4 linked regions of the Arabidopsis thaliana genome follow. Each later gene encodes a partner of the first gene's protein in a complex. Each region holds a gene or a part of one and is shown on either strand. Other genes may lie near its edges. The genes, in order: TIF3H1, TRIP-1, TIF3B1 and EIF3C.

Evidence for each region.
Region 2: TIF3H1 (region 1) and TRIP-1 share a complex: the UniProt entries of both Arabidopsis thaliana proteins name them as parts of the eukaryotic translation initiation factor 3 (eIF-3) complex.
Region 3: TIF3H1 (region 1) and TIF3B1 share a complex: the UniProt entries of both Arabidopsis thaliana proteins name them as parts of the eukaryotic translation initiation factor 3 (eIF-3) complex.
Region 4: TIF3H1 (region 1) and EIF3C share a complex: the UniProt entries of both Arabidopsis thaliana proteins name them as parts of the eukaryotic translation initiation factor 3 (eIF-3) complex.

What each region holds. Positions count from the first base shown.
Region 1 is NC_003070.9:3,605,973-3,613,172, forward strand, and holds TIF3H1 (translation initiation factor 3 subunit H1), read right to left. Parts: upstream 4,645-7,200; 5' UTR 4,328-4,644; coding exon 4,318-4,327; exon of another isoform or gene 4,202-4,317; coding exon 4,122-4,201; intron 3,956-4,121; coding exon 3,839-3,955; intron 3,740-3,838; coding exon 3,636-3,739; intron 3,550-3,635; coding exon 3,483-3,549; intron 3,210-3,482; coding exon 3,076-3,209; intron 2,991-3,075; coding exon 2,942-2,990; intron 2,806-2,941; coding exon 2,734-2,805; intron 2,644-2,733; coding exon 2,542-2,643; intron 2,457-2,541; coding exon 2,389-2,456; intron 2,204-2,388; coding exon 2,051-2,203; intron 1,971-2,050; coding exon 1,913-1,970; 3' UTR 1,659-1,912; downstream 1-1,658. Other genes in the region: Z-ISO (15-cis-zeta-carotene isomerase), read right to left, coding at 1-99, 529-738, 843-989, 1,067-1,477; AT1G10850 (Leucine-rich repeat protein kinase family protein), read left to right, coding at 6,256-7,200. UniProt on the Arabidopsis thaliana protein: Component of the eukaryotic translation initiation factor 3 (eIF-3) complex, which is involved in protein synthesis of a specialized repertoire of mRNAs and, together with other initiation factors, stimulates binding of mRNA and methionyl-tRNAi to the 40S ribosome.
Region 2 is NC_003071.7:19,002,056-19,008,638, forward strand, and holds TRIP-1 (TGF-beta receptor interacting protein 1), read right to left. Parts: upstream 3,678-6,583; 5' UTR 3,453-3,677; exon of another isoform or gene 3,367-3,452; 5' UTR 3,339-3,366; coding exon 3,155-3,338; intron 3,007-3,154; coding exon 2,791-3,006; intron 2,696-2,790; coding exon 2,562-2,695; intron 2,465-2,561; coding exon 2,345-2,464; intron 2,235-2,344; coding exon 2,145-2,234; coding exon of another isoform or gene 2,124-2,144; exon of another isoform or gene 2,052-2,123; coding exon 1,965-2,051; intron 1,865-1,964; coding exon 1,785-1,864; intron 1,677-1,784; coding exon 1,601-1,676; 3' UTR 1,103-1,600; downstream 1-1,102. Other genes in the region: GBF3 (G-box binding factor 3), read left to right, coding at 1-175, 267-344, 456-581, 667-846; AT2G46290 (Transducin/WD40 repeat-like superfamily protein), read right to left, coding at 3,855-3,930, 4,033-4,112, 4,200-4,286, 4,382-4,471, 4,574-4,693, 4,794-4,927, 5,024-5,239, 5,375-5,594 and 1 more; AT2G46300 (Late embryogenesis abundant (LEA) hydroxyproline-rich glycoprotein family), read left to right, coding at 6,337-6,583. UniProt on the Arabidopsis thaliana protein: Component of the eukaryotic translation initiation factor 3 (eIF-3) complex, which is involved in protein synthesis of a specialized repertoire of mRNAs and, together with other initiation factors, stimulates binding of mRNA and methionyl-tRNAi to the 40S ribosome.
Region 3 is NC_003076.8:9,779,172-9,787,435, reverse strand, and holds TIF3B1 (translation initiation factor 3B1), read left to right. Parts: upstream 1-2,147; 5' UTR 2,148-2,245; intron 2,246-2,260; exon of another isoform or gene 2,261-2,652; 5' UTR 2,653-2,676; coding exon 2,677-2,786; intron 2,787-3,036; coding exon 3,037-3,274; intron 3,275-3,371; coding exon 3,372-3,596; intron 3,597-3,869; coding exon 3,870-3,998; intron 3,999-4,173; coding exon 4,174-4,302; intron 4,303-4,389; coding exon 4,390-4,473; intron 4,474-4,544; coding exon 4,545-4,669; intron 4,670-4,775; coding exon 4,776-4,974; intron 4,975-5,080; coding exon 5,081-5,613; intron 5,614-5,699; coding exon 5,700-5,808; intron 5,809-5,893; coding exon 5,894-6,229; 3' UTR 6,230-6,426; downstream 6,427-8,264. Other genes in the region: AT5G27650 (Tudor/PWWP/MBT superfamily protein), read right to left, coding at 1-410, 776-1,925; ACBP5 (acyl-CoA binding protein 5), read right to left, coding at 6,656-6,835, 6,978-7,037, 7,282-7,428, 7,532-7,717, 7,787-7,870, 8,010-8,098. UniProt on the Arabidopsis thaliana protein: RNA-binding component of the eukaryotic translation initiation factor 3 (eIF-3) complex, which is involved in protein synthesis of a specialized repertoire of mRNAs and, together with other initiation factors, stimulates binding of mRNA and methionyl-tRNAi to the 40S ribosome.
Region 4 is NC_003074.8:20,831,703-20,839,627, reverse strand, and holds EIF3C (eukaryotic translation initiation factor 3C), read left to right. Parts: upstream 1-2,352; 5' UTR 2,353-2,563; intron 2,564-2,753; exon of another isoform or gene 2,754-2,776; 5' UTR 2,777-2,807; coding exon 2,808-2,831; intron 2,832-2,919; coding exon 2,920-4,674; intron 4,675-4,914; coding exon 4,915-5,838; 3' UTR 5,839-6,218; downstream 6,219-7,925. Other genes in the region: AT3G56160 (Sodium Bile acid symporter family), read left to right, coding at 140-253, 573-594, 779-846, 1,234-1,319, 1,441-1,561, 1,637-1,738, 1,818-1,895; AT3G56140 (DUF399 family protein, putative (DUF399 and DUF3411)), read right to left, coding at 6,959-7,108, 7,235-7,348, 7,481-7,925. UniProt on the Arabidopsis thaliana protein: Component of the eukaryotic translation initiation factor 3 (eIF-3) complex, which is involved in protein synthesis of a specialized repertoire of mRNAs and, together with other initiation factors, stimulates binding of mRNA and methionyl-tRNAi to the 40S ribosome.

The sequences.
Region 1 (7,200 bases):
AAACAAATGGTGTGCAATCAAACCGAGAGAAGCTGATGCAGCTACTGTGTTTCCGATCCAGAGAGTATGTGCTAAACACCAAACGATTTGTCCAACCATCTGGAGAAGATCAGAGGAGAGAGGTGCAACAATCAAGTCTCATTAACAAAGCCAGTATAATGAAGAGAGAATAGAACAAACCAAAACTGAAGCTAAAATGCCTATCTTTCTATATATTATCAAGTTTTTCCAAACACATGATGAAGCAATTGGATAAGAATTTTAAGATCAAAAGCAATATCAAGTAAAGTAATCAAGCATTGATGTAATAAACATAGAAGGATGAGGAGATTTGATTGTGCTGATGTAATGGGTGTATTTAAGTCAATGGCCAATACCTGCCCATAATTGATTCAATGATTGGGGGTCTCATTAACACAGCCACTAATAAACCTTGGCTCATAAAAATCCAATCTTTCTGTATTTTTGAAACACAAAAATGAAGGAAATTGTCTTCATGTTTAGGCACATTAGGGAAATGTTCAAAACCTGAGGATGTCGAGTGATTCTCATGATGCCGGTCTCCCAGAGATGCATCTTCGGTTTGTCAACAGCTGCTACCTCCAGAAGATTGAAGGTTGAAGGATAGAGAAAGAAGAAGGATACAAAATTAGCGACCCAAATAGCTTCATGGACTCCAGGAACACCCTGAAGCTGCCATAACTGTGACCCATCATATCTATGGTTTATAAAGTAAACCTGAAAGAAGAACAAGGCATTGCATAGACCATAAGAGACATCAAACAGGTATTTATACCATTGATCAGGAGAAAAATTGCAGAGTTAGAAGAGAGAGTACTCACAATGGTGCTCATAGCTAAAGGAAGAGAGATTCCAGCAAACAAAACACGAAATGCTCGTTCACCTATAAGTTTCTCTCCTATATCCCTTAGACTAGCTAAACCACTATGTACAATTGCAAATATAAGGATAAGCATTAACATAGCAACCTGCAAAAACAAGTGGTTTTTAACAATCAAATAACTGAAATTGAAACTGGTTCAGTTACTGTTAAATTGATCTATACCTCCGGTGAGCCGGAGATGTTAGAGACGGCGTCGATGAATGATTTTCCGAAACCGGTGGAATTATCGATCCAAACAACATTGAGGATAAAGAGAACAACTCCAAGGACAACACCGAAATAAACCCAGGAAACAAGCTTCTGTTTCCCTAATTCAAAAGCAGCAGAATCTTCACCGATCAGTAGAGTAGGACTACTCTCGGAGTCAGAGGCGATGGGTTGGTCTTCCCGGAGAGTGCTACGAACCAGAATTTTCCGAATTACCGGTGACGAAGAAGAAAGCAAGCTGGTCGAGTTTCCGAGGCGAGGATGAGCTGGGATACGGCGGATTAAGGTGAGGTTAGGGCGGCGAGGAGAAGGAGGGAGAAGAAGAAGCGAAGGTGGGCTCGAGAGAAGGAGATGATAAACCGCCATTGTTCTTGTTGGTAAACAATCTTTCGAAGAGGAAGTAATAAAAAGATGTCGTTTTTAAATTTCTTCAAACAATCGTCCGAAGAAGAAATAATAAACGTTGTCGTTCAAGGGATTTAGCGATGGAACTAACACTACAACTATAATAAAATCTCTATAAATTAGATTTTTTACTCTTTTGATTAGGATTTTGATAACTATGTATAATTTGTTGTAAGGCAATCAGAGGTCCAATACAAGATAAATCTTTCAAAACTTCAATAATTTTTCATTATGCATAAGAATAAAGATTTTTTTTGAAAAGCTTGTAAATTAAATTACTTCACAACAACAAAAATAAAAACAAAAACATCCACGAAAAACAAATATAGGATCCATTCTACCACCAAGTCTTTCACTTTCTGACTCAAAAAACAAAAACTTGGGTAGTCTTTGCAATCAGTTGTCGTGCAATGCTTTGGTCAGGTAAAGCCTGCTGAAGTTCTGGCCAGCCACTCTGCATAACAACAGGTCGACTCATTTTAAGTATCTTTCAAAGCTCCAAAAATGGTGAAACAATACTAAAGAGGAACATACCCATTGATTTGGCCACAGAAGTTTGAGACTTGGTTTGTGATGAGGAAACTCTCTAGCCTAGATGGTTCAGGGATCGCCTTAAAGATTGGGTTTGAAGGATCCTCTTCTGGTAAAGGCTCCTCTCCAGCTGATTTACGAGCCATGTTCTCCGTTCTATAAACCAAACACCTCTTTCATTAGTTGGAAGATCAAAAGGACAAGGAAAAGCTGAAGACAAATGTTACAAGGCATTCACAACTCTCGTAAGTAAAGTTGTATCACCTTCCAAGATAACGAGGTAGTGAAACTAATCAAACCTGAACTAGAACAAAAAGGTTCTGCAGAAAATATAAACCTACCTTCTCTTCTGGAGCCAGGCTTGCTGTTGTGCTTGCTGACGAGACAGGTTCCGGTAGTAATACTGGAACTGGAGAAATAAATTAAGATTTTGCGTTAAGATAGTTCGGACTTCTGATGATGAGAATTGAACAAGAGTGCAGAAGAAACCACACCTTTTGCTGTTCCATAGATAAATCATCCATGCATTTAATCAAAAACTCCATATTGTTCTCAAGGAAAGGAGTGGTTGATGAGTGTAGACGATCATAATCGCCCTAGAAAGGCGAAAATACAGAAGTATCAAGAGTCAAAATCTGCAATGCTGACAGCAAGCAAGGATCACTATCCAGATAGTAGTATTGTACCTGTGAGACAGGTGTATCAGTCTCCAGTTCGGTCATAAAGGCACTGACAAGGGCAGAATTTGAAACCTTGATCTGTCAAAGGAAAAGTAACAAACATTTAAACCACTTTTTTTGTCAGAGGAAAATATAATTAGGTAACAATTCCAACCTAGTGACTTGAAAAGATTAGCTGGTAAGAATTCAATATAGAAGAAAGCTAGAGACTTACAGGTATTTCCTCAAAAATATCCATCCAGGAGAAATTTTTCTCTCTCAACCTGAAAAAGATAGTGATTAAAACGTTACAACTATCATCCTAAGTGGCTCATAAAACCTAGATTTTCAATGGATCAAGATACATACTTCTCGCCAGTAAAGTTTCCACCTCGGTACAACTCCATAAAGGAATCTGAAAGCTTCAAAGCCTTCAAAGCTAAGACGCCTAGATCAGCTTTAGAGGGATCATATATGATGCACACACACCTCTTGATATTCTCCTGTAGATGCAGAAGAATCATTTCTTAAGAGTTCATATCATGATTCTGCAAGGGATTGTAACAGAGTTGCGGACAAAAAAAGTCTCAGAAAATATATTCATGATCCAATTTACATTCAACTTTTACACATGCCAATATACCTATCATACACTAGAGTAGCCATGCTATACATATAAATTTCCAGCTGAATGAAGAGCATAACATATGAACAGACCAAATCTAGAATGTTATAATGACATGGTAGACAGGATTCTTTAACAAAAAAAAAAGTACCTGGTAATTCATGAAGGTCTCAATCAGTTCCACAGTCTGATACGAACCAAGAACTGTAGATTGATACCTGAACAAAGAATTAGGCAGATCTAAATACATTCACAAGAAAAAATTTAACAAGTGAACTCAGACTGATGTCATTAAAAAACCTACCAGCCAACAGTGTTGTTGTCAACATTAACCTCCCTCAGACATCTCATCATCTCAAGCTGATAATTAGCACCATCAGCTTCAATTTCTTCATCATCATCCCTGACCTGTCCTCGTTTAAGATACAAATTCCAGTAAATCACATGTACATCAATCATGAACAAGCTCTTAAATCCTCACAATGCGTGTAAAATTCATCAACATACCGGGAAAGGAAAACAATTGGTAACTTCGAGGACGCTACCAACATCAAGTCCAAGAAGCTGTCCAGTGACAAGGGTCGGTGAAAACTCCTTGCAGTGTTTGATTATCTTTAGTACAGCCTATCACAATAGCAAACAAAATTCTCAGCATCACAACTTCCTACCAAATGATAATGGGCAAATTAGCTTCACCTAGAGAGTTTTTATTTATCAAACACCATCGGTCAGCAGAAAACGAGGAAAAACACTTAAAACCGTAAAATCAGGGAACACTAAGAAACGTTACCAGTCCTTCGATCTGAACAACTCTAAGCGGAGGAGCCACCGCCTCATCCTTCGATATCGCCTGCAGAAACGACCTAGCCACTGCAGAAATAAACCACGGAAGAAACTTAGCACGACATATACAGAAATCGTCAATAAACAGATGCAAATATTAATTCTATGTCCTAGTGAAGAACAGAGAGGATGATTATACTGACTGGTTGCCATTGAAATAGTCTCCGGTGATAGTGAAAGCTTCCTAGGTCAAAGAACTTGAATCTCCGCCGTGAAACCCTAACGATGTGATATTTTTACTGCCGGCGGCGGAGATGAGTAAGAGAAAGAACTTTATGTGTTTGATAGGGCTTCTCGAGGATCCGCAGATTTTTTTTTCCCTTCAATTTGGGTGTAGAGAGGAAAAAAAAAAAGCGTTTCGCAGTTAAAATTGCAAAAGAGCCCTAAAATTTGAGATTCTTATAGAATGATCCCTAAATGTTTTCCGACCTATAATAAGGATGGACCCAGCCCATGGACCTATAATGCTATTCTCTTGTAAAAGGCCAGGACCATAATATTCCTCAAAATATTGAACATTTAATTTAATAGCATGGGCCCATTACACTAACCAACTAGTCAAAACTTAGTAAGAAAAAACAAACAGTCATGGAGTCAACTAGAATCCAAAACTTTTAGAAACTTTCCCTCCAAATTCCATCCGGTATTAGGGTTTAATCGAAAAAGAGGACTAATTCAAAGTCTAATCTTTAGTAACCAACTTTAAAAAGTCTATAAGACATGGTCATTTCATAAGTCCGTAAGAAAATCAACAATGTCCTAAATAAACGGCAAAAACTAGAGAATCACCACTGGTATCAAAAAACGTAAAACCAAATATATAAAACGTATTAAATGTACTATAGTTTATTACTCGAAAGTCGAAAACCTTGATGATTCATTGAAGGTCAAAGAAGTCAACAATAATATTGATGCCAAATTAAATGACTGCAGTCTCTTTGCGAGGTTGGTGTTTGGACTGGTGGACCGCTGGTTAATAATTAACTCAGCCTTTACGTGAACTCAATTCTCACCTCTTCTTTATTACATTTTCATCACGCTTAAGCTAAGCAACTAATAAATTCCTAATTTAATAAACACTTCAACATCCTCGTTTTAGAGATTGAATACCAACCATGAATGTTAACACATCTTTAACTTTCCTCTCAAACAAAAATCCAACAATCTATATCCTCATTGTATAAATAACATGAGGTCCATATTAAAATACGATTAAAAATATTATAAAAACCATGTGAAGATTCAACAAGAAAAAGAGGTAGGAAAAAAAAGCAGCTCAATAATTGGTAGAGAGTGCAAAGAGGAACCAGACACCAACTGAATAAAATTGAAAAACAATGTCTCTCCTTACTTTAAATAAATCATCCCTAAAATTAATTATTCCCACCATATTTCTTCTGCTCCATACCACACTTCACCATAAAATCTCTATATAAATTTTCTCAGCAGCAGTAACTACCTTGGCCCCAAAACCTATCTGTCTCTGAATCTTGGCAAAGTAATAGCAACCATAACAATAACGACAAAAATATACGTGAATTATTTTTCTCTTTCTCCTTCGTCTCTCCTTCATAAACCCATTATTAATTTTTTTTATAATACTACTATTATTCATGAATGCATTGAAGATGTCACAGTGAGAACAAAAAAAAAGTTTTCCAGGCATGGCTTCACGTGATGACATCTTCCTCGACCAAGAACTTCGAGAAAAGATACTCAGAAAGTGAAGTGAGAGAGAGAGAAAATGCCGGGGAATTTTAATGCTTCTTCTTCTCTTCTTAGTGCTCACTACCAGAAGATTTCTTTCCGCCATTAAAGAGCAGAGTAGAGCAGAGCTCTCACTTTCTTCTTCTTCTTCTTCATTTTTTACCTTTCCCTTTTTTGCTTCGATCGAGATGCTTTAGCATAATGGGGCAGATCTGGAAAGTGACTTAATAATAGAAAGTGATGGCTTTGAGGAGATTCATGGGATGCTTTTTATGGAAACTCGATTTCGAACTGTATCAATCATTTCTGTTTCTTTTATGAGCTGAGGAAAAGAGCCACTCTTTCTGATTTGATTGATTCATCATTCATCGACAATGGCTTCTTCTTCTTCTTCTTCGTCTTCGAGTACGGTGTCGTTCGTAGTCTTTGCATTTACAGTCTTCTTCTGTTTGGTTACTCCGGCGAGATCTAGCGACGTCGAAGCTTTACTAAGCTTGAAATCTTCAATCGATCCATCTAATTCGATTTCTTGGAGAGGAACAGATCTCTGCAACTGGCAAGGTGTTAGAGAATGTATGAATGGAAGAGTCTCCAAGCTTGTTCTTGAGTACTTGAATCTCACCGGCTCACTTAACGAGAAGAGTTTGAACCAGTTGGATCAACTTAGGGTTCTTAGTTTCAAAGCTAACTCTCTCTCCGGTTCAATCCCTAACCTCTCCGGTTTGGTTAACCTCAAATCGGTTTATCTTAACGATAACAACTTCTCCGGCGACTTCCCGGAGTCTCTCACGTCTCTTCACCGATTGAAAACTATTTTCCTCTCCGGAAACAGACTGTCCGGTCGAATCCCTAGCTCGTTGCTTCGTCTCTCTCGTCTTTACACGCTCAATGTTGAGGACAATCTCTTCACTGGTTCGATTCCTCCTCTTAACCAGACAAGTCTCAGATACTTCAATGTATCCAACAATAAGCTCTCTGGTCAAATTCCACTGACACGAGCTTTGAAGCAGTTTGATGAGTCATCGTTTACCGGAAACGTCGCTCTTTGCGGCGATCAGATTGGAAGTCCATGCGGAATCTCACCTGCGCCGTCTGCGAAACCAACGCCTATACCTAAGTCTAAGAAGAGCAAAGCGAAGCTGATCGGGATTATCGCCGGAAGCGTTGCCGGCGGAGTACTAGTCCTTATCTTGCTATTGACGTTGCTTATCGTCTGCTGGCGACGGAAGCGGCGGAACCAGGCACCGAGGGAAGATAGAAAAGGTAAAGGAATAGCGGAAGCAGAAGGAGCAACAACTGCAGAGACAGAGAGAGACATT
Region 2 (6,583 bases), on another chromosome or scaffold:
TGGGAAACAATTGGTTCAAGCTAGCTCATTTCATTCTGTTTCTCCGTCAAGTGGTGATACCGGCGTAAAACTCATTCAAGGATCTGGAGCTATACTCTCTCCTGGTGTAAGTGCAAATTCCAACCCCTTCATGTCACAATCTTTAGCCATGGTTCCTCCTGAAACTTGGCTTCAGGTACCCTGTGACTTATTCTCAACTTCCACTTGTTGGATTTTCGAGCTAATCTGATCCGTTTCCCTGACCAAGTATTAAATTTTGTCTTCAGAACGAGAGAGAACTGAAACGGGAGCGAAGGAAACAGTCTAATAGAGAATCTGCTAGAAGGTCAAGATTAAGGAAACAGGTTTGGTTACTGAAAGAATACACTGAAGCTCTTTAGAAATTCTTTCTCTTAGTGTGTAACTCTCACCAAAACATTTAATAAACTAACAAACTGTCTTTCCTTGTTTTGAAGGCCGAGACAGAAGAACTTGCTAGGAAAGTGGAAGCCTTGACAGCCGAAAACATGGCATTAAGATCTGAACTAAACCAACTTAATGAGAAATCTGATAAACTAAGAGGAGCAAATGCAACCTTGTTGGTAAGTAAGCTATCATTAACCAACAAATTATCTTTATGAAGGCGTGTCATTTTCTTGAACATGGCCGGTTCTTTTTGGGTTGCAGGACAAACTGAAATGCTCGGAACCCGAAAAGAGAGTCCCCGCAAATATGTTGTCTAGAGTTAAGAACTCAGGAGCTGGAGATAAGAACAAGAACCAAGGAGACAATGATTCTAACTCTACAAGCAAATTGCATCAACTGCTCGATACGAAGCCTCGAGCTAAAGCAGTAGCTGCAGGCTGATCGATGGTAATTCATGTCGATTTCTACTTAATTTGTCGACATAAACAAAGAAAATAAGTGCTACTAATTTCAGAAAAACTTGATAGATAGTATAGTAGAGAGAGAGAGAGAGAGAGAGGTGTGATGATTATTGATCTATAAATTTTCGGAGAGAGAGAGGGAGAAAGAGAAACTTTTCCTCCAGATGAAAATTTGGTGTTATGGTTTGTTACTGTTAATATAGAGAGGCTTTTCTTTTTTTATAAAATGGCTTCCTTTGTTGCATTTCCTTGTTTTAGACCTGATGTAATTTTATGAAATCGGTGTTATTGCTTTGCGTAAGCTTTTGTTTCTTTTGTCAAGGTTTCATGCATAAAGGATCTTTCTTTTCAGGTTTCATACATCTCTCTCCGAAAATTTATAGATCCAATAATCATCACGAATATCACAAACATTATGAGTCTGTCTTTGGGTGATTTTCTTCGCTACTCTTGAGGACTGTCAATCACACAAGGCATTCTTTTCTACAACCGAGTTTATTTTATAAAAGCTGAATATTAATGCTCGCTCACACATAGAGCAGGTTAATTAACTTGTACTGAGAACTCTGGAAATGAAAACTAAAGATTCTGTCAAAATTCAAAAGCTTTATCATCAAGGTATTTGTATTGGTAGTAAATAAAAACATGAAAATGTTAAAAGAGAGAGAAAACAAAATCCGGAATGGGAGACTTTTTCAAAGATTCTAAAAGGTTGACGTTCAAGTAGTCGGAATCTAAATCTTGATGTTGAAGTAGTCGGAGTCAAAATGATGCAGCCTCACGTAACCGTCTTCACCTCCACTAGAGAAACTGAAATATACATTCCACAAACTCAGTGAGAGAGCCAAAACACACACTCAAAACCTCATCATGTGAGGATTGTGTCAATCAATCAAAATCCAAATGTTGTTAATTTACCTCTTCCCATCAGGATTGAATGCCAAAGCATTTATAGGTCCAAAATGACCTTTCACACCACCAATTTCCTCTTGCAGAATCTATATATTATACCAAACACAATGATACACGGTTATTTAAATATGTGTATTTTCCAGGTTACATGTTTCCAAGTAAAACACTCTTATTATAAACACTAACCTTGTCGTAAAACTTAGCTTCAAACTTTCCAGCACGATGATCAGTGGTAGTCACAGCTGATGCATCTTGACCACCTCCAAGTACAACCTAAAAGAGAGAGCAGAAACATTCACAAAGATAACATCATGCCTTGCTGATTCTGGGATTCGAAATTGAATTTCATGAAGCATTAGTGCATACATGGTTGAGAAGTGGAGACAGGGAGACAGCATTTACGGGCACCACAGTGGTGTAAGTCTTAAGAAGAGTCAGCGTTCTCATGTCCCAAAGCTGAAACAATCAACAAAAGAGAACACTCTATTAGATGATTTATATCTATATGTATAGTGCAAAAATTTGAAACAAGATATACTGTACAAGTAAAAGAAAGAAGCACATGCCTTTGCAGTTTTGTCAAGTGAACCTGTAAGGAAGTGAGAGTCATCAGCTGCTTTGCAGAGCGATGTAATGTCCTTCTTGTGACCCACTTCCTCATCTGATTGCTTGAGCAATTTTCCCGTCTAGTAACAATGGCAGTAGCACCACATAAGGTTTAGTTCATAACCTTAAAAGAGAGAAATTAATACACAAGTAAGGCCTTAAGAAAAATTGAAATACCTCGGCATCCCAGATTCTGATAACTTTATCTTCACCACCACTAACAATAGTTTGGTTCAGGGGACCCCAAACAGCTCTATTGATCCTCTTCTTTCCATCAGGACAATGAAGGACAAGCACAGACTCAGCATCCTCTACACAATTGCATCAAACAAACAATTTCCTTTTAACACATACAAGAAGTTGGCTAAAACGTAAGTAGTAATTCAGCTAGGAATGTACAACTTACGTTCCTCAGGATCTTCCGCAATACGCTTCACATGAATAGCAGCGGTACGGTCCACGAAGTGATCAGTGGTAATCACTGCAAGACGATCTCCAACAGCGAAATCCACAGACCTCGTAGGGGCATTAAACTTGAAAGTGAACAATTCTTTTCCAGATTTTACATCCCACAGCTTTGCAGTCTGATCAGCACTACCAGTGATCAATCTTGACGAGTCTCCTAAGAAATCACTAAACATTCAGCTTTGAAAGACTAAGACGACAGAATTCACTCGATACTATAAACCCTAAACAAGCTTGTAGCTAAGGGGAAACAATGAATCTAATCATCGACTCGATACTATTTGAAGAGAAATTGAGAAACTTACGGGAGACATCACAGCACCAAACAGCACCGTTGTGACCACGGTAAGTTCCAAGGCGCTCGCCGTTATCGGCAAACCAGAGGGTGGGTGTGTGGTCCTTGGCGCAGGAGAAAAGCAGATCTCCTTCTCTGTTGTACCTCAGAAACGTCAATGGACGTTCATGTCCCTTCATCAGGATCGGCCTCATCTTCAGTTTCTTAGGGTTTGATGCGAATCTTTGAAACAGATACGAAATCGAATCAATCAAAAGACAAGAAAAATAATTGAAGAAACGATTACGGAAAACGGCTTTCTTCTTCACCTGTTCACTTGAAGACGAGAGAGACGACGAGGAAGAAGTGCAAAAACCCTAGGAAATCAACTTTGTCCTCTCTTTTGACACTTTTACCCTTTTGTAATTTTTTAAATTACTCGAGATGCCACAGTTTAGCAAAGCTCAGTGGCTTCAGCGTTTTTAGCTTCTTCCCTATTTGATGAGTTCGAACCTCGCCCGTTGCGCCTATTTTGTTTTTTTCCTTTCTCAAAAGCAGTTTCATACGTTTTTTTTTTGTGGGTGCATATGTCTATTTGAAAAGACAAACAACAAGCTTTATCATCAAAGTAGTATATTGGTAATTTGGTAGTACATCAATTCTGAAAATGTTAAAAAGAGAGAAAATATTATGTGGAATGATGAAAAAATGGAAAGACATGTTCAAAGAATCTAAATCTTGATGTTGAAGTAATTGGAGTCAAAATGATGCAGTCTCACGTAGCCGTCTTCACCTCCACTAGAGAAACTGAAAATACATTCCAAAAAACACTCAGCAACAAAGCCTAAAAAACACTCTCATCAACTGAGGATTGTATCAATCAATCAAAATCAAATTTTGTTAGTTTACCTCTTCCCATCAGGACTGAATGCCAAAGCATTAATAGGTCCAAAATGACCTTTCACGCCACCAATTTCCTCTTGCAGAATCTATATATTATAAGACCAAATACACAGTTACATATCTCTTTCCAGGTTACAAGTTTTTAAATAAAACTGTTTTACTGCAACACTAACCGTGTCGTAAAACTTAGCTTCAAACTTCCCAGCACGATGATCAGTGGTAGTCACAGCTGATGCATCTTGACCACCTCCAAGCACAACCTAAAAGAGCGAGAGCAGAAACATTCACAAAGATAACATCAAGACTTGTTGCTTTTGGGAACCGAATTTGAATTTCAAGAAGCATTAGTGCATACATGGTTGAGAAGTGGAGACATGGCGACAGCATTTACAGGCACCACAGTGGTGTAAGTCTTAATAAGAGTCAGCGTTCTCATGTCCCAAAGCTGAAAGAATCAACAAAAAGAACACTCTATTAGATGATTTATCTCTATATGTAATATGTATAGAGCATATTTTTGAAACAAGTAAAAGAAAGAAGCACATGCCTTTGCAGTTTTGTCATGTGAACCTGTAAGGAAGTGAGAGTCATCAGCTGCTTTGCAGAGGGATGTAATGGCCTCCTTGTGACCCACTTCCTCATCTGATTGCTTAAGCAATTTTCCAGTCTAGTAACAATGGCAGTAGCACCACATAAGGTTTAAGCTAATAAAAAAAAAAAGAGAGATATTGATAGACAAAAGAAAGGCCTTAAGAAAGTTGAAATACCTCTGCATCCCAGATTCTGATAGCAGCATCTTCACCACCACTAACAATGGTTTGGTTCAGGGGACCCCAAACAGCTCTATTGATCTTCTTCTTTCCATCAGGACTTTGAAGGACAAGCACAGAATCACCAACCTCTACATCAATTACATTAAATCAATTCCTTTTACCCATACAAAAAAGACATAGGCTAAAAAACATAAGTAGATTTTAACTTAGAATTGACAACTTACGGTCTTCGGGATCTTCTGCAATGCGTTTGACATGAATAGCAGAGGAAGTTCCCACGAAGTGATCAGTGGTAATCACTGCAAGATGATCACCAACAGAGAAATCCACAGACCTTGCAGGGGCACCAAACTTGAAAGTGAACAATTCTTTGCCAGATTTCACATCCCACAGCTTTGCAGTCTGATCAGCACTACCAGTGATCAATCTAGACGAGTCTCCTAAGAAATCACAAACAAAACACTAATCGTTAAGCTATGAAAGACTAAAACAACAAAGACAACGACTTAAATCCTAAACTGAATCCATTCCATCCACTATATACTATTTGAATTTGAGAGGCTGAGACCACTTACTGGAGATATCACAGCACCAAACAGCACCACTGTGGCCACGGTAAGTGCCAAGACGCTCGCCGTTATCGGCAAACCAGACTGTGGGAGTGTGGTCTTTGGCGCAGGAGAAAAGCAGATCACCATTTCTGTTGTACCTCAGGAACGTCAATGGACGTTCATGTCCCTTCATCAAAATCGGCCTCATCCTCGTTTCTAGGGTTTGATGAGAGGAGCTTTTCATCTTGCAAACAGATACGAAATCAATTCAATAGAAAGAACAAAAGATAATACATTAATCGGAAACAAGTACATGACCAAACGGAGGAAGAGATATGTGCACATACTTGGTTGAATCGAAGACCTTCGGGATTAACGCACTCAATTGTCATGACGGAGGAGGCGACGGTTGAAGGACGACGGATTTGATCAGCGAGCGTTCTCTGAGATTTTGAGGGCTTTAAGTGGTGAATCGTTAAACCGGTGAGCGTACCATTGGTAAATAACTCCGAATAGAGCCACGTGGCAGTAATGGGCTCGAAACAGAGTCCACCTGGCCTAAACATCTAATCTGTAGGCCCATGCCACTTTGGATGTATCAAACTCAATATGATTATCAGTTATAAATTAATCGACTAATCTAATAACTGAAATTTGAATATTTCAATGAATGTAGGAAGAAGAGAAAAAAGAGGGAACACGTCAGCAACAAAAACGGCGCGCGTGAGTCTCGGGCCTAAAACGAAATCCCTTCCTCACGTCTCAGCCTTCTTCCATTAACGAGAGAGAAGAGACAACGCAACACAAAAAAACATTCTCTTCTCTCTCTCTCTCTTCCAAAAACTCAAAATCTCTTAGAAACCAAGTTTGCCTGCAATCATCATCATCATAGCATCTCTCTCTCCATTTTGAAGATTTCGTTTTGATCTTCCTTGATACGATTTATCAGGAGATCGTCAGAGAGGTGAATAATTAAGAGAAAAAAGATGGCAGATTATCAGATGAACCCGGTTCTTCAAAAGCCACCAGGTTACAGAGATCCAAACATGTCCTCTCCTCCTCCTCCTCCACCTCCCATTCAACAACAACCTATGAGAAAAGCCGTCCCTATGCCTACTTCTTACCGACCAAAGAAAAAACGTAGAAGCTGTTGTCGTTTCTGTTGCTGTTGCATCTGCATTACTCTTGTTCTCTTCATCTTCCTCCTCTTGGTCGGAACAGCTGTTTTCTACC
Region 3 (8,264 bases), on another chromosome or scaffold:
AAGTACAGCAGCTCTTTCTTCCATTCTCTCCTTTGATTTTTCAGCTAGACCCTTTTCTTCATCAAGAGAGGGCTTTGAAGCTGAAAATTCTTTACCAGGAATAGCTGTATTTGAAGAGGCAAAATCCATGCTGACGATCCCAGACTTCTCATCTTTCATTGGAGTTTGAAGCGTCGGAGCTCTTCTCTGCAGCCCAAAATCCCCATCCAAAGATCCATCAATTCCCTGGATATGAGAAGCTTCTGAACTTGCTTCAATTTCGCCAAACTGAACAGACTTATCACCAGCTTCATCCCTTCGTTTGAGAAGATACTTGTCTTTTTTTTTAGAGACCTTAACCTTTGTGGGTTTTTTAGAGCTCTTAAGGTCACCTAGCGTTTCTGCTATGACCAGTGGGCCACTCAAGGGAGCTGGAAATAAGAGAAATTGAAACAACACATCACCCACCAAGAAAATGAACAATAAAGCAAACAAGGTAAATGTATGCGGGACTCTCCATAGTAGAAAGAGGCGCAGAATTGTTATCAGGCCACGTTTTCGAATGCACAGTTTAGCATCAATGAGACTTCACTATTCTTTCAAGCATGCTATGTAAAGAATTCAACTACAAAGATATAAATCCTAAAATCATGAGCACAGAGGATCTAAAAGTAAAACCCTAAAACCAAGTTACAGTATCTAATATCTATGTAACACATATGAAAGCTGTTTCAAGTCTACAACGAAAAAACCCATATACAAACAATAACATGATTTTCTGAAAAGTGGCTAATACCTCGAGGCGGTGCTCTATTATGAGGTTCCAGCGTACTCACTGAACTGCGGGGTGATTTTGTCCCAAAGGCCTGTGCATAAGTTTCATCAAACTCCTCAAACACTGACTTGCGGAAAGCAAAAACCACTGCTTTCTTCTTCATAAACTTTAAACTGTCTGGATCACACTCTTGAGGTGCTAACGCCAATTGCTTCACAAACGAAATGGTTTCAGCGGGTAAAAACTTATCCCTAGAATTCTTAATCTGATCAACAGAGTAAACGGCTTGAAGCTCGTAATCAGGCACATCAACAGCAAAGTAATCTTCCACATTACTAGGCCTAAAGTTATAAGGATTCCGACATTTACAAGTCAAACCAAGAGCTGACCTTCTACTCGCCTCATCCTTGGCTTCCTCCACAGCTCTCACAAAATGCTTCGAAACCGTCTGCTGTGATTTCTCCTCTAAATTCGGTTCGAAAGGAATAAGCTCAGCAGGATCAAACCAACCATAACTACTATCACCGAAAAACGCAACAAGAACATGATCAATCCTCCTCATACGACGAACAGAAGGAGACGCAAAAGCTTCATTGAATATATGACCAGGCCACCAAGGATGAGACTTTACCTTTCCCCAAACCAAATCTCCAACTTCAAACCCATAACTCAATGCCCTCGAAACTCCAGAACCCATTTTCTCACTTGCAACATAATCATCAAACTCAGATAAAAGAGATTTATAATCCGAAACTCCTTTTTTCTCTTCCTTCAAACCCAAATCTAATTCCTTCTCATCAGCTTCAGAACCAAGCTCACTAGATTGATCATCAGAGCCATCTTCTTCTTCTTCTTCTTCTTTAACCTCAGAACTCTCATCATCCTTATCAATTAAAACATCCTCGCTTTTAATCTCATCTTCCTCCTCACTCCCTACGACACCATCTTTCTCCGATCTCTCACTTTCGAGAACCCTAGCGTCATTTGTAACCGCCGAATCTAGCTCCATAGGTGAAGAAGCTTCAACATCATCATCAATGGCTTCGTGAACATCCCCGCTCGAATCAACTACAGTATCATCTGGAGTTACCTTAGGATCCTGAATCGAATCCGTTTGTTGAACAATCACAGCATCCTCGTTCATCACCGGGATTAATTTAGTTTTGTACATTACAAATCGATAAGAACCCTAGCAACAACAACAACGATCCTCCGATGAGAGATTATCCGAATTTGGTTCTCGAGGACACCAAATGAAAGAGACGGATTATTGTTAAAAAAAAAAAAAAGCTAATCGAGAGAAAGACAATAAATTAGATCTACTGATTACTATTGAATTGGGCTTACCCGGCCCATATAAATATTTATAAGCCCGTTTAAGGAACCGACGTCGTATGATCCAAAAAGACCTGAAAACAATCGCTCCTTCTTCCTCACCTTCAAGCGCCGTCTTCTTCTTTGTTTTTTGCTCTCGGCTGATCTCTGTATTGGGTACGTTTCTTATCTCGATTTCAGTGTTCATTTGTTTTTTTTGTCTTTTCTTATGTAGCTATGAGACAGGATCCAGAACGATGCAATAGATATAAGAGAGCCTTCAGGAAAATTTTGCCATTTTTCTCCATTTCACCTGTTGTTGGGTTCTAGATTAAATAAAACTAGAGTATAGTTAATAATTTCTATAGGCATGGTTTTAGATTTACATTATAGTGGGAGTGATGATTCAAAGTTTTAGTCTTTGAACATTTGGCCATGGTAGTTTGTTGTTTTAATACTTGTTTAGGGTTAACAAAAAACCTACTTTTAGATCTAAAGACTCAGATTTTTCACATTTATTTATCGACTTAAAGTTGGAATGTGTTAAAGACTGATAGCTCTCTCTATATGGCTTTCTTTGGCAGATTTTTGATATAAGGTTTGAAATCATGGAGGTCGTTGATATTGATGCCCGAGCTGCTAAGTTAGGGATTGATTGGTCTCAGGTTAATTTTGATTCCATCCAACTTCCTCCTGGAGAAGACTTTGGGATCGAGAGGTGAGATTTTCCTTTAGATCTCTGGTTGTTCATATACGGTCACTTCTATTTCTAATCTTCTTGTGTTTATACGATGGGATGATTTTATTCTAGGTTTTGCTATTGTATGTATGAAAATTTTGTGTATTTCGAATTGGTTTATCTCTTTCCTTGATGGTGCAAAGCTTATTATATTTATACATTTTATCTATGAACGTATGAAAAATGGAACTGATTCGTTATACACTTTTTTTTTCTGTGATGGTTGTAGTGATGATGAAGCTGTTTACCAGGATGACCAGTCTGAATTCGACACTGGATTCGGTAACATTATCGTGGTCGATCACCTCCCTGTTGTTCCCAAGGAGAAGTTTGAGAAACTTGAAGGTGTTGTCAAGAAAATTTACAACCAGTTAGGTGTGATTAAGGAAAATGGACTGTGGATGCCTGTTGATCCCGATACCAAGATGACATTGGGCTACTGTTTTATTGAGTTCAACACTCCTCAGGTTATTTATCTACTTGATTAGCTTAATCTCTGTTTTGTTGGATTCTGAAGCAATAATGTCGGCGTCATATGTTTCAATACTTTATTTCTCTTGTTAGAAAGGAGCCCAAACTAGGTTGTTCTTAATGGTTGAGTATTTCCTAAGAGTTTCTCTCAATGTCTGGGGCTCTTTGCAGGAAGCACAAAACGCTAAGGAAAAGTCTCATGGCTACAAGTTGGACAAGTCTCACATCTTTGCTGTAAACATGTTCGATGATTTTGACAGGTTGATGAATGTGAAGGAGGAGTGGGAGCCTCCTCAGGCCAGGCCCTACGTCCCTGGGGTATGTGTAGTTTTCATCATGTTACTCCCTGTACCTTGAATAATTTTCTTTGAATAACTTCCATTGTGTCTGTGTAATCACTTCTTTATTTTGGTAATTCGCTGATTTATTTTGTGTTTGCCTGCTGCGTTAGGGTTAGGATCTTTTTACGTAATTGATGTATACTAACTAATAACTATAATTTCATAACTCTTGTTTCATGTATATATTTTAATTCATTGCAGCCTTTTGTGGTGCTAATTGTCGTTACTTATATGGTGTTTGTTTTTTCAGGAAAATTTGCAAAAATGGCTTACTGATGAAAAAGCCCGAGACCAGCTAGTCATTCGTTCTGGCCCTGATACTGAAGTTTTCTGGAATGATACTAGGCAGAAGGCGCCTGAACCTGTTCATAAGCGTCCTGTAAGTTACTTCCTGTGTGTATATCCCTTTTGTTTACTTGACTGTTTAGAGCAATGTATATGTTATGTTACCTTCATTTGAATTAATATCCCTTATTTGTTTACTTGACTGTTTAGAGCACTTTTATATGTTATGTTACCTTCATTTGAATTAATGATGTTCTCTTCCTATGCAGTATTGGACAGAGAGTTATGTGCAGTGGTCTCCTTTAGGTACATACCTTGTGACACTCCACAAGCAGGGGGCAGCTGTTTGGGGTGGTGCTGATACATTCACGCGTCTCATGCGTTATCAGCATTCTATGGTTTGAATTTCCTTTCAATTGCTACATATTACTTCCGTTTTTCCTCTGTTGGCCTGAAAATTGCATCTTTTGTTGATTATGTTTTAGGTAAAACTAGTTGATTTCTCGCCAGGTGAGAAATATCTTGTAACTTACCATAGCCAAGAACCAAGCAACCCGCGAGATGCAAGTGTGAGTGCATCTTTTCTTCTGTTCTTTTCAACTTTTACTATTTGTGACGCTGAATTCTGTCAAACTTTCAGAAAGTTGAGATTAAGGTTTTTGATGTGAGAACCGGGAGGATGATGAGAGATTTCAAGGGTAGTGCTGATGAGTTTTCAATTGGAGGACCTGGTGGTGTTGCTGGTGCCTCTTGGCCTGTTTTCAGGTAATTCTTTCAACTGCATGTCAATGTCCTAAAAATAAACAGCCAATATTATCATCTTCTCCACTATTATGGACATATGTTGATATCTTGTAAACTTTTTCTACAGATGGGCTGGTGGAAAAGATGATAAATACTTTGCCAAGCTTAGCAAAAACACTATCTCTGTCTATGAGACTGAGACTTTCAGCCTAATAGACAAGAAATCCATGAAGGTAGATAATGTTGTGGATATCTGCTGGTCTCCTACTGATTCCATCCTTTCATTGTTTGTTCCTGAACAAGGTGGTGGAAACCAACCTGCGAAGGTATGTTTCTATTATTTCTGATGTACATGAAAAGCTCTGAATCCTTAATTTGCTTCTGTTTCTCTGCCTGGTGTTTTGAAATTACATGTTGATATCCCTTCTTCAGGTTGCCCTAGTCCAAATCCCGAGCAAGGTGGAGCTGAGGCAGAAGAATCTCTTCAGTGTGAGCGACTGCAAGATGTACTGGCAGAGTAGTGGAGAGTATCTTGCTGTCAAGGTTGATCGATACACAAAAACTAAGAAGAGCACATACTCTGGATTTGAACTTTTCCGTATCAAAGAAAGGGATATTCCCATCGAGGTTCTTGAGCTGGACAACAAGAACGACAAGATCATTGCTTTTGCATGGGAGCCCAAGGGTCACAGGTTTGCTGTGATTCATGGTGACCAACCAAGACCAGATGTCAGTTTCTACTCAATGAAGACCGCACAAAACACTGGAAGGGTTTCAAAGCTCGCAACTTTGAAGGCCAAACAAGCTAATGCCCTCTTCTGGTCGCCCACAGGCAAGTACATAATTCTTGCTGGGTTAAAAGGTTTCAATGGCCAGCTTGAATTTTTCAACGTGGATGAGCTCGAGACAATGGCCACAGCTGAACACTTCATGGCCACGGATATCGAATGGGACCCGACTGGAAGGTCCTACTGTCTTAACTAAACCAGTCCTTTGGTTGTTTCTATTTGTTCCAATTGCTGATGTTGTTTGCACTTTTTTATTTTCAAAGGTACGTTGCAACCGCAGTGACATCAGTCCATGAGATGGAGAATGGGTTCACCATATGGTCTTTCAACGGGATTATGCTTTACCGGATATTGAAGGATCATTTCTTCCAGGTATGTAACAAGAAAAACTCGGTCTTAAACGAGCATCGTCCATTCCGATGTCTAATAAAATATTTGTGTATGGTTGGTTACACAGTTGGCTTGGCGTCCAAGACCTCCATCATTCTTGACTGCAGAGAAGGAAGAAGAGATAGCAAAGACCCTGAAGAAGTACAGCAAGAAGTATGAGGCAGAGGATCAGGACGTGTCGTTGCTGTTGAGTGAACAAGACAGAGAGAAGAGAAAGGCATTGAAGGAAGAATGGGAGAAATGGGTAATGCAGTGGAAGTCTCTGCATGAAGAGGAGAAACTCGTGAGGCAAAACCTTCGGGATGGTGAAGTAAGTGATGTGGAAGAAGATGAATATGAAGCCAAAGAAGTTGAGTTTGAGGATCTTATCGATGTCACTGAGGAAATCGTTCAAGAGTCGTAAGATACTCGGTCTCTTTTGTTGCCATCTCTTTGGATCCCTTAGACAATTTTAAATCGTGTTCGCTATACTTGGAAGATAATTTTTGGTTCCTTCATGATTGAAAATTTCGTTGTTAGTTGATGAAGTATGGTGCTTATCACATGTAATGGTACTAAATGGTAGAAAAATTACCAATACAATATAGCTTGTAGTGTAACATAATTACACACAAATCGGTAGAGCTTATATAGAAACTGAATCTTCAAATGGCAACTCATCAATCATACTGTAGTAGAAACAACTATAGACCTTATTTTCACTAGTAACAATGCGGAGACGCTAAAAATTGTCTATACTGTATTTCTCTCTTTTTCTTTCTTTCTAAAAGTAAATACTGATATTGGTAATGACAAAAAAGAGTTACCCGAAAAAAAGTTTCATGGGCACTCATGTTTTAGGCGGAGGAGTTCCAGCGAGCCAACCCCAGACGCCACCAGAGCTTTGTCGTTTGGCGTTCATGGTGGCGGCTTGTTCAGACGCAACGGCTCTTTGACGTTGGAGGAGTTCGAGTTCCTTTTGAAGTGTTTCCATTGTCTGAAGCTTTTGTCTTAGCTCTGCAACTTCAACCTGCGGGCACTTAGACCGAGTTTTGTTAGGATTTGGTCAACATCGGAGAGGAATGTTTCACCATCGAGATTCAAATATCAACCCAGACTTACTATAAAAGTGAAACAAAATGACTTTCTTAGTAAAAGGTGTAAATACCTACCTCTAGTTTGAAACACCTTGATTGTTCCGCTGCAAGTTGGTTCCGCACAGATTGAAGTTCCTATAGATGGAATACCAAAAATGTTGATACAACAAAAGAATCTCCAAGAAATTCTCAACTCATTTGTCTTGCTTATTAGTCATTTCCACGGTTTATTGAATTTTTCCAAAATACTAAATTTCAAGACTGAACAAGAACCAATTTTCAGAAAACCAACTACATGATTGTGTTCTGTTGGCTATTCGTTCTGGTAAAAGCGAGATCAAAGGCAAGACAGATTCATGAAGGTAAATAGTACGGTTACCTTGTATAACTCTGTATTTCGTGTGTCTATCTCTGCTAACTCTTCCTTTAGTTGGAGAGTTTGTATCTTTTCCTTGTTGAGTGATGCCTCCACTTCTTCTTTTTCGGATTTAAGGGTTGTGATAATGCGGTCGGCTTTTCCTTCAACCTGAGGATTTAATATCCAGAATACAAAGGAGAAAAATAAGAGATGCATTGTGATTATCTAGTCTAATTTGATATTCACAGCGTTTAAACTGACGGGAAGACACCTTTAATCTGGAGTTAACATTATCCATGACAATTTCCCTTACTTTGCCTTCTTGGCTCACCTTGATCTCAGACTCAATATCTCTAGTCGTGGCGTTATTAACAGCGGAAAAACTATCTGGCACAGCAGAAGCTCCCATAATCTTGGATTTCAAGCTTGATTTGTGGCTTGGTTTAAGAACATTCACCTGATTAGCCACAACAGAATCAATAACCAAGTTTTAAACCAAATCAGGAAAAAATGTATTTAGCTGTACTTCATTGTTGTAATGTCCGTTGTATCCACCAAAAGCAACCACTATGTCTTCTCCATTGTATGAGCTCACAACTAAACTCAATCCCTGTCATCAAACGAAAAGTTGCAGAGGAAATCACAAGACTGATTTATTCAATGTCTTGGAAAATTCAAGTTTCATGTGTCAGGCAATATGAGTTGGAGACTTTTATGCAAAAAATAAGTTGGGGATGTGTTTTAAATACCTCACTAGCGAGAGGTACATGTTCTTGGACTGAAGTGACAACTGACCATGCAAGAGTTGACATATTTAATACAACAGTCTTAGATGCCCCTGCGGTAAAGTACCAGCAAGTATCACAATTAATCACACTGTACAAACAAAAAAACGAAGCAACTATCAAGTTTTTCCCCCAGGAAAAGTTCCAGTGATGTAACATAAAGAGCAACACATGCAGGAATCAAAATGCAGGGAAGAGAAAGAGGCTTTTGAAGGAGAA
Region 4 (7,925 bases), on another chromosome or scaffold:
TGCTTAGCAATTTGTTCTCAAAACAACTCATGATCTTGTATCTATGACTATGAGTAGGATTCAAACTTCAAAGTCTTCTATTAAGAATGAGTATTGCGTCTTCTGACACTGAAGTTAACGTGGTTTGACCTCTAATCAGATTCCATTTTGGGTATCAAGATACATAGCTGGGGGAGTAGGGGTTTCGTTTCCTACTGACCAACTATTCAGAAGTCTTATAGTTACTCTGTTAATTCCTTTAATCATTGGCAAGGTGAGACAATCTTTCTGTTTGTCCTGTTCTTGCAATGATGAATCAATATAAATTCTGATATACGGTACAATTGTGAAAGCTAAATTTGCAGAGGTGGTTGTTGCCAAAAGATATGTGAATACTTTATTGGAAATTATAATAGGGTTGTTGCGTGGCTCATTTGAAAATGAAGAAAGCTTACTCTCTATTATTTGTTACTTTCCCTGATGTTTATATGAACCTTTCACAAACAGTCATTTCAGCATGAAGTTCTATCACTTGCCATTTTGCACACGTTTTTAAAATCGAGCTTTGACATACTTGGTTTCTTCTGTTATAGGTTATTCGAGAATCATTCAAAGGTGAGCGCCATTTGTTATATTTTACTTCTCTGGTGAAAGTAATTGAATACATACCATTTTAAATAGTTAGCAGTCACTTTATCGTGACAATGGATCAAAATGGTTCTGTTTATAATAAATATATATGCTTATCGCTGCCTACTTTCTGACCTTGTTGAAACTCTTGTTGAAATGTGTGATACAGGTTTCGCAAACTTTGTTGACAATAACCGTAAACTCTTTTCGAAAATCAACGCAATCTGCCTCAGTTTGGTAAGATATGAAATGTTAGTCTCCCGTAATTTCTACACCCCTTGAATAACTTTCTGAAGTCATATCCTTGGAGTTTTGCTTTGTTGCAGGAATCTTAAACTTGGCATTTTAGATGCCTGTACTTAAAACTTTCTCTTTTCTTGTATGATAGCTTGGGATTTCAACATTCCGTGGCATTGATGTGCCAATCCAAAGCTTTTACTAAATTGCAAAAACCATATTTGCAGTCACGGTTATGACTTTGGAGATAGAAGGACTTAATACTTTTTTCCTTTTTATAGTTTAACCTCTGCTTCCCTGGCTACTTCAACTGGTCTGACTTTGTTATTGCATTTACCTGGTTATTTTGGGAACTTAATAGTGTTTATTCCATGATTAATATTCTAGGTGCCATGGATCCAAGTGAGCAGGTCAAGATCACTGCTACTATCCGTTCAACCTAAGGTTTTCCTTGCAGCAGTTGGCATTGGAATGTACGCATTCTTCTTTTAACATATAGAAAAGATACCAAGTGAAGAAGCTCATGGAAATATTTGGCTTGTGTGTTAGAAATGCGGATTACGTTTGACAGAAGATTCTTACGTCTTCTTACAGATTGCTGCATCTTTCTCTACTAGCATTCAATGCTGTTTCAATCCGCATCCTCTCCGGTCTTACAGGTGGTAGCAAGAGCTCCAAGGAAAACAGCACTGCAGTTTTGCTCGTTTCAAGCCAGGTAATAATAGAGTTTGCCTTTTAGAACCGATTTTGATCTCTTAAATTTGGGAGTTCTTTTCTTGTGGTGGCATAGAAAACATTACCGGTAATGGTGGCGGTAGTAGAGCAATTAGGAGGTGCATTTGGTGAGACAGGGCTATTGGTTCTTCCTTGTGTAGCTGCACACCTGAACCAGGTTACAAATTGTATTATAATCATCATGTACTTGTGTGCATAATTTTATAAATTATTGACGTAAATCTGGAATGTTACAGATCATGATTGATTCAGTTCTTGTCAACTTATGGCTCCGGAGAGGAAAAGATACTTCGACTAAAGTAAAGACAGCTTGAGAGAGAGAGAGAGAGATAGAAAGCAATGAAACCAATGCTGTGGAGAAGGTTACATCCTAAACACACTGAATGTCAGTTATATACATAGCAGCAAGACTGGGGATTTTGATATCTTTCCAATCACCAAAGCTTAGTTGATCATTGACCATCTCTCTCTCTCTCTCTCTTTCTGTATGTATATGCTCTAGAGATTCCGGTCGGTGTTTGCTGATCCAATTTGTATGATTTATGAAACTATGTAAAAAAAAAACTTGTATCTATATTTGAAAACATTTAGTCATTTGACGTTACCAGCGTACAAAGCAATTCATATGTAATCTGTCTGATAAGCAGCTAGGAAAGAGGACTAAGAACCGGTTCTTTTCTCAATTTAATTGAACTAACCATCACTACAATTTCATTTAGTCCTGGTTCGACCAATTCGGTTTGTAAATAAAATAAAAACCGATCGAGAGCGTTTTAATTGTCCTCGGTTTTCAGTTTCGGTATGGAAATAGAATCAAATCGAATCCGGTTTAGTGAGTAAATCACGAAACCCTAATTCTATATATTTTTTCATCTCGACCAAAATGCTTGGACGGCTACACACCATTTTTGTTTAGATTCGTAATCCTCCTCAAGCATCTCCTTCGCAAATCTCCATCTCCATCTCCATCTTCTGAATTCAGGTAATTTTGTTCCTCATCATCTAGCGTAACAAATTTTCGATTCTAGTTTGGTGTAGATTGATTCGAATCGATTCTAATTCTTTGTTGATACGAGTCTGTATCTGTGACACGATTGTTTCGTTCAGATTATGTTCTTCGAATGGATTGGTTTGTTTTACTTATAATTTCGTTCCTCTGATTCACTATTCAGATTTGTTACTTTTGGTGTATCAGGTTCTTGTTGCTTACGCTTCCAGCTAAAAAGATGACGTCTCGTTTTTTCACTCAGGTTTCCTTCAACAGACCTCTTGTTTATAAACTCTCTTTACCTTTACTTGCTTCAGTTTCTGAATGATTTTTACTTGTTATGTTGATAGGTTGGAAGTGAAAGTGAAGATGAAAGTGATTATGAGGTAGAGGTTAATGAGGTTCAGAATGATGACGTCAATAACCGTTACCTTCAAAGTGGTAGTGAGGATGATGATGATACTGATACGAAACGTGTGGTTAAGCCTGCTAAGGATAAACGTTTTGAGGAGATGACCTACACTGTTGATCAGATGAAGAATGCTATGAAGATCAATGATTGGGTCAGCCTTCAAGAAAACTTTGATAAGGTTAACAAACAGCTTGAGAAGGTTATGAGGATTACTGAGGCTGTGAAGCCTCCTACCTTGTATATCAAGACGCTTGTTATGTTGGAGGATTTCTTGAATGAAGCTCTTGCCAATAAGGAAGCCAAGAAGAAGATGAGTACTAGTAACTCCAAGGCTTTGAACTCAATGAAACAGAAATTGAAGAAGAACAATAAGTTGTACGAAGACGATATCAACAAGTATCGTGAGGCTCCAGAAGTTGAGGAAGAGAAACAACCTGAAGATGATGATGATGATGACGATGATGATGATGAGGTTGAAGATGATGATGATTCTTCCATCGACGGACCTACCGTAGATCCTGGGTCCGATGTGGATGAACCTACTGATAATCTCACTTGGGAGAAGATGCTGAGCAAAAAAGATAAGCTTTTGGAGAAGCTAATGAATAAAGATCCTAAAGAGATCACTTGGGACTGGGTCAACAAGAAGTTCAAGGAAATTGTGGCTGCTCGTGGAAAAAAGGGCACTGCTCGATTTGAGCTAGTTGATCAGCTTACGCACTTGACAAAGATTGCCAAGACTCCTGCACAGAAGCTTGAAATCTTGTTTAGCGTTATTTCGGCTCAGTTTGATGTGAATCCAGGTCTCAGCGGGCACATGCCTATCAATGTCTGGAAGAAATGCGTGCTTAACATGCTCACCATACTGGACATTCTCGTCAAGTACAGTAACATTGTTGTGGATGACACAGTTGAGCCTGATGAGAACGAAACTTCAAAGCCAACAGATTATGATGGAAAAATTCGGGTCTGGGGAAATTTGGTTGCATTCTTGGAGAGGGTTGACACTGAGTTTTTCAAGAGTTTGCAATGCATTGATCCTCACACCCGTGAGTATGTTGAGAGGCTAAGGGATGAGCCCATGTTCTTGGCCCTTGCTCAGAACATCCAGGACTACTTTGAGCGGATGGGTGATTTTAAAGCTGCTGCAAAGGTAGCCTTAAGACGTGTTGAGGCAATATACTACAAGCCCCAGGAAGTTTATGATGCAATGAGGAAATTGGCTGAGTTGGTGGAAGAAGAAGAAGAAACTGAGGAGGCCAAAGAGGAAAGTGGACCTCCTACTTCATTTATTGTTGTTCCGGAGGTTGTTCCCCGTAAGCCTACCTTCCCAGAGAGCAGCCGAGCTATGATGGATATTCTTGTGTCCCTTATCTACAGAAATGGAGATGAGCGGACCAAAGCGCGTGCGATGCTATGTGATATCAATCACCATGCTTTAATGGACAACTTTGTGACTGCTAGAGACCTGTTGCTGATGAGTCATCTGCAAGACAACATCCAGCACATGGACATCTCAACACAGATTCTCTTTAACAGGACCATGGCGCAGCTTGGTCTTTGCGCCTTCCGGGCTGGAATGATCACTGAGTCCCATAGCTGCCTTTCCGAGCTGTACTCTGGTCAAAGAGTGAGAGAGTTGCTTGCCCAAGGTGTCTCGCAAAGCCGATACCATGAGAAAACCCCGGAGCAGGTAACTAGTTATCTTCTGTTTTTAGATTTAATACAGATAGGATTGAAAAAAAATTGTTTGACCAGATAGTTCTGATTGAGACATGATTACAAACACTGTTGCATTTTTGGGTTCTTCATTTTGTTTCATTTCACACAATCCATTTTCTCTATTTCAACATGGATGCTTATGGTTATGTTTTTCGTTCAGTTTATTTATATGTGATATAAAACTTTCTTGGTTTATTTCTTGATTTACCAGGAAAGGATGGAAAGGAGAAGACAAATGCCGTACCACATGCACTTAAACCTTGAGCTTCTGGAGGCAGTTCATCTCATCTGTGCCATGCTTCTTGAAGTCCCAAACATGGCTGCAAACTCGCACGATGCCAAACGCAGAGTGATTAGCAAGAATTTCCGCCGCCTGCTCGAGATCAGTGAAAGGCAAGCATTCACTGCACCGCCTGAGAATGTACGTGACCATGTCATGGCAGCCACCAGAGCCCTGACCAAAGGAGATTTCCAGAAGGCGTTTGAAGTTTTGAACTCTCTTGAGGTCTGGAGGCTGCTCAAGAACCGTGACAGCATCCTTGACATGGTGAAGGATAGGATCAAAGAAGAGGCTCTAAGGACTTACCTATTCACATACTCAAGCTCTTATGAGTCCTTGAGTCTTGATCAGCTGGCCAAAATGTTTGACGTCTCTGAGCCGCAGGTCCACAGCATTGTGAGTAAGATGATGATTAATGAGGAACTGCATGCAAGCTGGGATCAGCCAACACGATGCATCGTCTTCCATGAAGTGCAACACAGCAGATTACAATCATTGGCTTTCCAGTTAACGGAGAAACTCTCGATTTTGGCAGAAAGCAATGAGAGGGCAATGGAATCTAGAACCGGTGGAGGTGGTCTGGATCTGAGTTCAAGGAGAAGGGACAACAATCAGGACTATGCAGGAGCAGCATCAGGTGGTGGTGGATATTGGCAAGACAAGGCGAATTACGGACAAGGAAGACAAGGCAACAGATCAGGTTATGGTGGAGGAAGATCATCTGGACAAAATGGTCAGTGGTCAGGGCAGAACCGAGGAGGAGGGTATGCAGGAAGAGTTGGTTCAGGAAACAGAGGTATGCAGATGGATGGCTCAAGCCGTATGGTGAGTCTTAACCGAGGTGTTCGTACTTAAAGAGGATGAGGAGAAATCTGCAGTGTTGACCTTAGTCTCAACCTTTTGTTATGTTTTGGATTCCTTTTGGTTATCAAATGGTTCTTTCTAAGAGATGTTCATCACATTTTCTCGCATTGTGATTGTTTATTTTCTTTGTGATATTGGCAGTTGTTGGAAAAGACTTTTAAGAATGCTTTACTGGAAAGTTTAATAAGTTTTTTTTTATGCGTCATTCTTGTTGAAAAGAAGAAGGCTTAGGTTTTTTCTCGTATGCTTGCAGGTCTGTTTTTGTTGATGTCTTTTACTCTTTCATCTTTGTTTGCTTAGTAACTTCCTCTCGATGAAGTGTTTGATTAATTTCTTATCAAGAACATCTGTGATTTAATCGGCTACTTTCGTGGAGCTAGCGACAATGAATATTGTTGAGAAAATTCTTTTTTTTTTTTGGAACTCTTATCTTATTATAACTCATGTTGTATGGCAAACACAGATACAAAAAAGAAACACAAGCTTGTCGTAGTAAGTACTAAGTAGTAACTAGTACAAGTGACATGGTTGCATTTGCCAAAGCCGGATAAAGATGCTGAAGAAGTATCCGGTGGAGTGAAAGGCTCTTCTGCTGCACTTAAAAGGATAATAATGCTGTGGACTTGCGGCTCAGAGACGTCAAACATTTTGGCCAGCTGATCAAGACTGGAGGACTCATAAGAGCCGGATAAAGATTCTCTCAGCAATCTTCACATCACTCATATTGTTAGTTATTGTCACTCTCTCTCTACTCTATGTTGAATCTGCACAATTAATGTTGATGATTTAAATGTCCTTTTTCTTTGCTTACATACCAAATAGAATTTCTGAACCACAACTTATTGCCAGCTGAGATACCATCTCCTTCTCCCGTGCAAAAGTATTTGTCAACTAGAAAAATGATTGCTTAAGTACGAAGAACGATAAATAGAGAAACAATCAATGTGAGTTTAAGACAACAAATTTATATTGAAACCATCACTATTTGCCAAGCACATGTACGAACATACAACTTAAGAAATGTGAAATTATTATATGCTAATTTCTACGATCTAAAGCTTATATGGCAAACAACTATTAATTGATAACTAGTGGGGTAGCCTCACCAGTATCATTGATTATTGAGCTTATCGATACTTTCCTCTTCAGTAGTAGTATCGCATTCCACTGTCGGTTCTTCCAAAGCCTCTGAAATTTCTTTAGAGGCTGGGATGCTTTTCTGAGTTTGCAGACCCGTAGAGCGTGCAAGATCGATCCATTGCTGCAACATTTTTATCAAAAGTTGGGATCAAATCAAATAGTACTGTACTTCAAAAATAAGAATTTAGGAGAAAAGGAAATAAAGATGTAGAAAATGAAACCAAATATTCAGGCTTGTAACTCTGACCTGCGTTCCGAAATATGAGTTTAGGGTCCTGACAACAAATGAAATAGCATTTACAAGTAGAGGTTGCGAAGAAAGCTCATCAGATAGGCGATGCTCTATTAATCCCGCAATTATCTGCATTTAAAGACACTTTGACATTAGATGCATATATCAAATCATAATGTCTTTAATCAACACTCTTCCTTAGCCAAGACGTCGCGGTAACATACACATACCATCACTGTCAAGCAGCATGGATCATCATACCTGGTAACGAAGATTTGCAGATGTTCCCAGAAAACCTCCGTAAACCATTGCCGTCTTCAGAAGAGGAGACCTCTTAGGTTTCTCAGCCACAACCAGCTCGGGTTTAATGACCTTTCGTGCTATATTCAATGCATTTGAAGCTCCCACAGCTGCAAAACTGGAAACAACTCCAACACCAGCAAGCTTCAAGCCACCAACAATAACTGAAGCAATTCTAAGATTCAGGTTCCACTCTCTTCCAGCAAGACTTTTTTGAAATGCGTTATCAGGTATGGATCCTAGGAGGCCTCTCAGGGCGTCTATGCTGTCTGGTCCAGTGGTCTCATCAGCATATGAAAGAAAAGACAAAGTTGGTGCAGGAAGCCAAACTGTGAAAAAATCAACGACTGATCCTCTCACTGTATCAGTTATAACATAGTCAATTTCTTCAAAGAAATTCTCTTTT